Xenopus tropicalis: one gene and its partner. The protein of the gene in region 2 interacts with the protein of the main gene of each other region in a pairwise test. Links are inferred from orthologs where the notes say so. Each region holds a gene or a part of one and is shown on either strand. Other genes may lie near its edges.

Evidence for each region. The genes of interacting proteins can lie anywhere in the genome.
Region 1: the proteins of stam2 (region 2) and plekhb2 interact in binary tests that used the Homo sapiens proteins (3 or more experiments, as listed by UniProt). The two-hybrid records come from large-scale screens. The link is inferred for Xenopus tropicalis from reciprocal best matches to the Homo sapiens genes STAM2 and PLEKHB2.

The regions. Positions count from the first base shown.
Region 1 is NC_030681.2:126,782,312-126,786,531, forward strand, and holds the start of plekhb2 (pleckstrin homology domain-containing family B member 2), read right to left. Parts: upstream 2,876-4,220; 5' UTR 2,817-2,875; coding exon of another isoform or gene 2,750-2,816; intron 1-2,749. UniProt on the Homo sapiens protein: Involved in retrograde transport of recycling endosomes.
Region 2 is NC_030685.2:75,874,658-75,878,956, reverse strand, and holds the start of stam2 (signal transducing adapter molecule 2), read right to left. Parts: upstream 2,841-4,299; 5' UTR 2,621-2,840; coding exon 2,581-2,620; intron 1-2,580.

The DNA.
Region 1 (4,220 bases), on a different chromosome or scaffold from region 2:
CTGGGTTTTCCAATGTTTAAACACAGTAGTGCAAGAATTTCAATTCCCAGAATATTGGATCGTAACTTTTATTGTGCTTAGATACACAATTCATATTGTTAGCCCTGCTGGTTATACACGTATGGAACATTTACATTAATTAAACCCAACAGGACTGTTTGCCTCCAGTAAGTATTAAATATATCTTAGCTAGGCTAATGTACAATGTTCTGTTTATTATTACAGAGAAAATGCCTTTTTAAGTCTATGGGAGATGGCCTTCCCGTTATTCTGAGCTTTCTTGAAAATGGGTTTCCAGATAATGGATCCTATACCTGTACTGCAGTGTGCTACTAATACAGGTAAGGGACTTGTTATCCAGAATGCAAGGTACCATTTTATTATTACAGTTATGGGACCTGTTATCCAGAATGCAAGGTATTGCTTTATAACAATTATGGGACCTGTTATCCAGAATTCTGGGTACTGGTGTTTTCCAAAAGAGAGGTATTTCCATAATTTGGATTTCCATACCTTAAGTCTACTAATAAATAATGTAAAAATTAAATAAACTCAATGGGATTGTTTTGTCCCCAGTAAGGATTAACTATGTATTTAGACAAAGTGCAATGTACTGTTTTATTATTTCAGAGAAAAGGGAATCATTTTGAAAAAATTAGAATTATTTGATTAAAATTGAGTCTATGAGAGATGGCCTTCCTGTATCCTTTCTGGATAATGGGATTCTGGATTACAGATCCCATACATGTACAGCGAAAATTAAAATAATTTTTTCAAAGTTTCAATTATTTAATTAAGGGTGATGGCTGTCCCGTAATTCGGAGCTTTCTGGATAACGTGTTTCTGGATAACAGATCCCCATACCTGTATTTTTCCTATTCCCTCTTTTTAAAGGCCATTTCAACATTAATATTATCTAAGGCTGTGACACTAAGGATTCAAGCATGTGATAGTTAGAAATGTATTTGTCATGCAATGTCAGTAGTGCAATAAAAACTGAAAGAAACCTATAGTTAAAGTGTTCAGTATTGGTGTTTGTTGGTACAAACCTGCAGGGAAACATGAGTTGAGTCAGAATAAGCATTGTTTGTTGCTATAGAATGCATAGAAACTACACAGTATGGCAAAGGCACTGAAAACCACCATGTTCCTGTACCTTGAGAGTACACACCATGCTTCCCTATATAAGTGTAAGGCACAGTATAGCAGTATGTAAGGGTTCTGTTGAACTATAGGATAGCACAGCACACATCCAGGCACTAGTAGAGTTCCTGTGCTACAGAAAGCCCAAGGGCCTATGTTGCTACGCACTTTAAGAAACAAACAGGGCAAGCAATGGCACTTTTACACTGAATCACAACTTTGCAGGCAGTTCCGCTTGTGTAATCATTGCTTAATGAGCTATATTTTCCCCCAGAAGCAGGTGATTCCCAGTGAAAAACAAAATGTAAATTAAAGGAACTCCTTAGGGAATATATTGTGTATTAATGTAATGCATCCAATGCCACAACTAAACGAGTCCTTCTCGTCATACAGCCTCAGTCCATTTGAGTTATATTTCATAAATTAAACAAAGAGGGACTTCAATCATTATTAAACGGATAGTTCACCTTTAAATTAACTTTTAGTATGTTGTTGAGAGTGATGTTCTGAGGCTGTGGTACATTTCAACATTGTATCAGCCAATCACAATTGGCAAATGTGCTAACTGGGGGGAGAGTGCTTGTTGCAACCTATGAACTCAATGTAAAGTGCTACTGCACACTTACAGAAAACAACACAACTTACCCTGACAAAACTGGCCAATTACACCAAACCACAAAAAACAACATATGCCGATGTTGTTTTATTATTATTATTATTATTATTATTATTACTGTTAGAGTAAACATCTGCAAAAATATATAAGGTTAAACTAGAGGGTTCATTTACTACAGTAGCCTTATGTGCTCAATGTGTAATCGGACGCAAATCACCATGTTTATACCCACAATGCTGTGTTTCCCAGCAGAATTGTAACTTCATGTGGCGGAAACAAGTTAAAAAGCATACACTAGTGGGCTCAGCAGTGCTGGTGTAAATGGTGTAAATTCTAATGCACCACCCAATAAAAATACCCAAGGAGATGGCAAAACAACAGCACAACAAGCTCACAAGCTCACACCATGTTTATGATGAAAAATAACATTCTATATTGCTGATTTGTTGATTTCCTTTTTTCTGTTCCATAAAATCAATAAAAATCTAAATGACAAAATTCTAATGCACATAATCCATAATACCATTAGTGTGTGATTGACTGTACAGAAGTCAGTTGTTACGTTGGCACAAACTGCTAAAGGAAGCCTGGCATTACAGAGTCCCCTTGTGCCATTCTGCCCTGTACTTTGAACAAGTGATGAGCGAAAATTTTAACCAGGTTTTGTTACGAAAGATCACCCGTAGACTGCAATGGCTGCAAAAAAAAGCTGTGCAGTACACTGTAGCTGCAAAAAAAAAAGCCCATTGACTTTGATGCATTACACAAATTTTTGTCATTTCTGACTACAGTTTGAACATGTACACACTTTATTGGAACAAGCTAAATGGACACTACACAAAAGTTGTAAGAAGCAGAAAAGAAAAGGGCTTATTTACATTTGGAACGTGGTTTCTAATTGTCATAAACTATTTTCCTTGTGCACAGAATACATAGATAACAACTATAGCAAAAAAACATACATATAGATATAAATGCAAGCACTCGTACCCTTCCTCTCTTTCTCTTTCTCATGATGGGGAAGATGAGGCTCCTCGGCTGCGAGTTTGCTGTTCATGCTGCAGTGAATATGTTTGCAGACTATGAGGTATGATGTGTTATTAATGCGGAACAGAAGGAGCAGGTAGAAAGGCAGTGGGATAACGAAGCCACAGATAATATGGATATGTTTGTTTCTGGATGAGAACAAGCCCTGAGTTTACTTAATGCTGTTGCCACCCATGGGAATAATGCTGATCTGCTGAATACTGACATGATTGTCTTAGAAGAGTTTATTCATTTATTTATTTTTGCAAGGTAATTGGAATAGACATCAGGAAATTTTAGTTAGGTCTTGCTTCTATAGCATAGGCAGAGTTGTGCTGGAGTTAAATGGACTACCTTTAGTTAATGATGACTAATATAGTGTTCAAATAAAGAGACTAACCTAAGGGTTCTTACAAGGGACTAATGCACTGATGCGCAGGTAAGTAAACTTACACAAGCAATATGGGTAGGGTTGCCACCTGGCTGGTATCTGACTTGCGTGGCCGGTAAATCACCCGGTAGGGCCAGCACTGGTATTTCAAATTTATTTACACTTGTATAATGCCCTATAAATTCCTCCCTTCGCTGACCCTCTCTGCTGCTAATCACCCTTTATAACCACAGGTCACCCCTCTGCCCCGCCTATTACCCCACCAATTTCTGGGCCCCATCCACTTTTCCCTCCACCCAGCCAGCCCATTTACCCACCACCCACCCCTTACATCATAGCCCTGCCCCAAAATGAAGTCACAACCCCACCCCCAACCCAAAGGCCAGATAGAAAAAGGTGCCAACCCTAAATATGGGGGTGTACTCATAGGGCGAAGATACATGGGGTGATCAGTTGCCACAACTAACACTAGTATACAAGTTGTCGCAACTAATCACCCCGTGTGTCTTCTCCCTACCTATTACGAATGTCAGCTATATATGTAAATAGATATATATGGGATCCTTATTTGATGGAGCAGGACGCAAAAATAGGTCTCCATGGTCCCGCTGGATAATGTGAAGTTTCTTCTCACAATAGAAAGTAGCAATTAAATGATATTGTTTGTAAGTTTGCAGTTGAAAAGCTGATTCTACTAATTATTTTGGGTTCCCTGCGATAAAAAGGCTGCCCTAAGGGCTACATGGATGTTCTGCCCTGTCACACTAAGCCCAAAGTCTTAGTGCTCTTTTGTAGGTCCTAGCTGGGGCTCACAGCAGTGTAACCTTTACTGTAAATAATGGCATGGTTGGCACAGTGTCAACATAAGACCTGCACCAGAGACAACAAATTGGTGCAAGCTGCATCTTTCTATCTGCCACAGGAATTCCGTTTGCCTGTGTGTCACCTCCATGCCGATACAAACCCTTCTTTTAACTTCCAGCCCTTCATATATCTCGCTACATCTGTTCAGTTGCATATTAGCTGGAAATAGCACGTAAAACA
Region 2 (4,299 bases):
TTATTCTTTAGCCATAGGTCTAAACCAGGGGTCCCCAACCTTTCTTACTCATGGGCCACAGTCAAATGTAAAAAGACTTAGAGCAACAGAAGCACCATAAAAGTTCATGGAGGAGCCAAATAAGGGCTGTGATTGGCTATTAGGCAGCCTCTATGCACCAGCTTACAGGGGCTTTATTTGGGAGTAAATCTTATTTTTATTCAACCAAAACTTGCCCCCAAGTCAGGAATTTAAATAACTCCCTGGTTTGGGGGCACTGAGAGCAACATCCAAGGGGTTGGGGAGAAACATGTTGCCCCTGAGCCACTGGTTGGGGATCACTGGTCTAAACGATCAAATAAAAACAGTGGGTATATCGGCTGTCGGATCAAGGAAACGCATCAACGAGCCAATGCTGTCCCAGATCTGATGGGAAAATAAAGCCTGCCCGATCTTGATCTAGTCCAGATATCGGTCAGGTAGGCCCATCGGTGATGCCCATAACTGGGCAGATAAGCTGCCAAATCAGTGTGAAGGACCCAAATCGGCAGCTGACAATTAAATGGATGGTCACAATTGTTCAGCTGGCCTTCAGTAAGCCTGTGTCTTTGTATCAGTTATGTACAGGATTTGCAACTGCATCAGTGGGGGTGGGGTAATTCTAAAGGGCCCCCAAGAGAACAAATGATGTGATCTTAAACCATAGAACAAAAAAATCCATAACCTGAGGACTCAATACAAAAATGAAAGGTACATCACATAATTGTACTATTTCTGAAATAATCAAGTTAATCTTTCTATTTCCTTTTTACATCTGACTTTATACATGCAGCTTTGTGTCCCCTCTGGAAAGGGCCCTACTGTCACCTGAATTCTGACTCCAGCTTGTGCATACAGATTGCTGAGATAGTTGCCCTTGCAGTCTTTGGTATGAGGGGTAAAAAAACATCCTTGACATGCCCTTTACCTGCAGATGCCATGATTTCCTTATCATAACCTGGTCTGTCAACAAAAAGCAGCCTAAGCCACTGCAGCATTCTGATTGGTTTGTCCTTACACTGGAATGTATTATATACAAAGCACATAGACAGCCAGTGCGCTACATATAGCCCTCACAATGACAAAAGCTGGTACAGGTATGGGACCTATTATCCAGAATGCTCGGGACCAAGGGTATTCTGGATAAGGGGTCTTTACGTAATTTGGATCTACATACCTTAAGTCTGATAAAAAAAAAAAAAACAATAAAACATTAATTAAACCCAATAGGATTATTCTGCCCGAATAAGGAGTAATTATATCTTAGTTGGGATCAAGTACAGGTACTGTTTTATTATTACAGAGAAAAGGGAATCATTTAACCATTAAATAAACCCAATAGGGCTGTTCTGCCCCTTATATCTTAGTTGGGATCAAGTAAAGGTACTGTTTTATTATTAGAGAGAAAAGGGAATCATTTAACCATTAAATAAACCCAATAGGGCTGTTCTGTCCCCAATTAGGGGTAATTATATCTTAGTTGGGATCAAGTACAGGTACTGTTTTATTATTACAGAGAAAAGGGAATCATTTAACCATGAAATAAACCCAATAGGGCTGTTCTGCCCCCAATAAGGGGTAATTATATCTTAGTTGGGATCAAGTACAGGTACTGTTTTATTATTACAGAGAAAAGGGAATCATTTAACCATTAAATAAACCCAATAGGGCTGTTCTGCCCCCAATAAGGGGTAATTATATCTTAGTTGGGATCAAGTACAGGTACTGTTTTATTATTACAGAGAAAAGGGAATCATTTAACCATTAAATAAACCCAATAGGACTGTTCTTCCCCCAATAAGGGGTAATTATATCTTAGTTGGGATAAAATACAAGGCACTGTTTTATTATTACAGAGAAAAGAAAAATGCATTTTAAGAATCTGAATTGTTTCATTAAAATGGAGTCTATGGGAGACAGGCATTCTGTAATTCGGAGATTTCTGAATAACAGATCCCATAGCTGTAATAGATGTAAATGATATACCAGCCTGGCCATCTCATCCCTTTATCTAGAGGAAACATATGAAGCAGTATGGCAGGAGCGTACTGACACTATTGGGGATGGGATAGGCTGGTTAGCTTTGGTTAGAGAGTGGCAGGATGATTAATTAAAGTACAAATGTGATTGGTTGGCATGGGTTACTGGGCAAGTACAAATGTTACTCTTCCCCTCCTGTATCGGTTATTGATTGCTTTATATGTTACTCTGTATGTCCAATGTATGAAACCCACTTATTGTACAGCGCTGCGGAATATGTTGGCGCTTTATAAATAAATGTTAATAATAATAATAATAAATGAGCCCATGTGGGATACCAGAGCTAAAGGCCATTGCTGGCTTCTGGATAATAAAGTAGGCATGACGTGACAGCTTTTCTCCCCAAGAGGTTCCTCAGCAGCCGCGGGTTTTACTACATGGACCAATAATACTGAAATCCTTTCTGTTACTGAACTATAACTCTCCAACAGCCGCAGGCATATAGGGGTCGCTGAGGGTTGTAGTTATACAGGAGCTGCATATTCCCCGTATGGATGCCCGTGTTCCAGGGATAGCACTTACCCACATCCTGATCAAAGGGATTAGAGCCGAAGAGCGGCATGCTGGGGCGATAGGAAGGCGAGAGGTCCGTGTACAGTGCTGGGGCCCCGCTGCTAGCCTGGCTCTTCCTACTCCGGCTTCCTCTCTCCCCAGTCACAACATCCAAGCACAGAGGCTTCCGGGTCTGCCCGCTCACCGCCTGACTCAAAAACAAGTGCCGCCGCGCTTGGGGAATTATTCTATATTCATACGCTGAACTCTTTTACAAAAGGAACCTTTACACGTCAGCATATAAAGGCTAAACATCTGTCTAGGTGCGAGTTCAGCGTTGCGTATTTTACAGGCAGCTGCATGGTTGCCTAAATCGTGGGTCCTTTGTAGTTTTTTAGGGTCCTCCGCGGAAGGAAGGGCAGGTAACGCCTGCGAATTGGCATAGTCATGTGACTAACGTCACCTGAAAGTCTGAGGAAAGGAATGTACCAACAGCAGTGATGTCATAGGGGATTGGGAAAGGCAGGGTCAGCTGATCAATGGAGGAACAACAGACAGATTATTAATATATAGATATATAGATATAATATATAGATATATATATATATAGATATATATATAGATATATATAGATATATAATATAGATATATAATATATATATATATATATATATATATATATTATATATCTATAGTAGGTATATAGGGCAGTCATTAGAGGGGTGCTGCATTGGGGTATTTAAGGCCAATCTATATTTCTGTTTGGTAAGGAATCACCAGCACCAGTGTTATAGGGTTGCCGCCTTTGAAATCTGTGATAGACAGACGAGAGGGCAGGGTGATATTAGGGGCAGAAATTTGAGGGTGGGGTCATGACATTTTTGGGGGAGGGGCCTGGACATTATTGCTGGTTATTGGCCGGATTATTGTTTGGGTTTCACAAGACTGTAACATTAACCGTTGTGACCCGAAAACGTACCTCCCAGTATTTTGAAAATGGAAAGAGGCACAAAATTAAATGCGGCATGGTGAATTGTTTTTGACCACGCCCATTTTTGCAACCACACCCCCTAAATACCGCTCCCATTTGACTAAATTGGCAGGTTTTATAAAGTTTGAAAACATTTCTGGGGGTTTGGGGTCTTGTTTTATGTGTTGTTACAGTTTTGTTAAAAAAAGGTGAAATTGCCCTTTAAGCTGCAAGTCTCAGTCCCCCCAAGAGACCTGTTTAGATTATTAGTTACAATTGTATCTCAGTGCAGGGGGGGCTTTTTACCTTTCTGGGCTCTCTGCCAAAAGCTACTTATTTAATTAAATGTGTGAAACAATGTTTCTAAGTGCAGGAGAAGCTTGTTAAGTTTTCTGGGCTCTGCCAAAAGCTACTTATTTAATTTAATGTGAGAAACAATGTATCTAAATGCAGCTGAAGCTTGTTAACTTTCTGGGCTCTCTGCCAAAAGCTACTTTTTAATTAAATTTGTATCTTTTTTAGCATTCAGTACAGGAGATCAAAGGGAAATGAGGGACTTTTTAGTAAGAATCCTGGACTGCGGGTTGAGCTGTCAGAAGAGGGACTGTTCCACAAAATCGGGACAGTTGGGAGGTATGTTCTAGGGTTGCCGCCTTTGAACTCTGTCATAGACAGACAAGAGGGCAGGGTGATGTTAGGGGCAGAGCTGTGAATTTGAGGGTGGGTGGGTACTCATTACATTTTTGGGGGCGTGTTTGTGTTTTAGGGGGAGGGGCCTG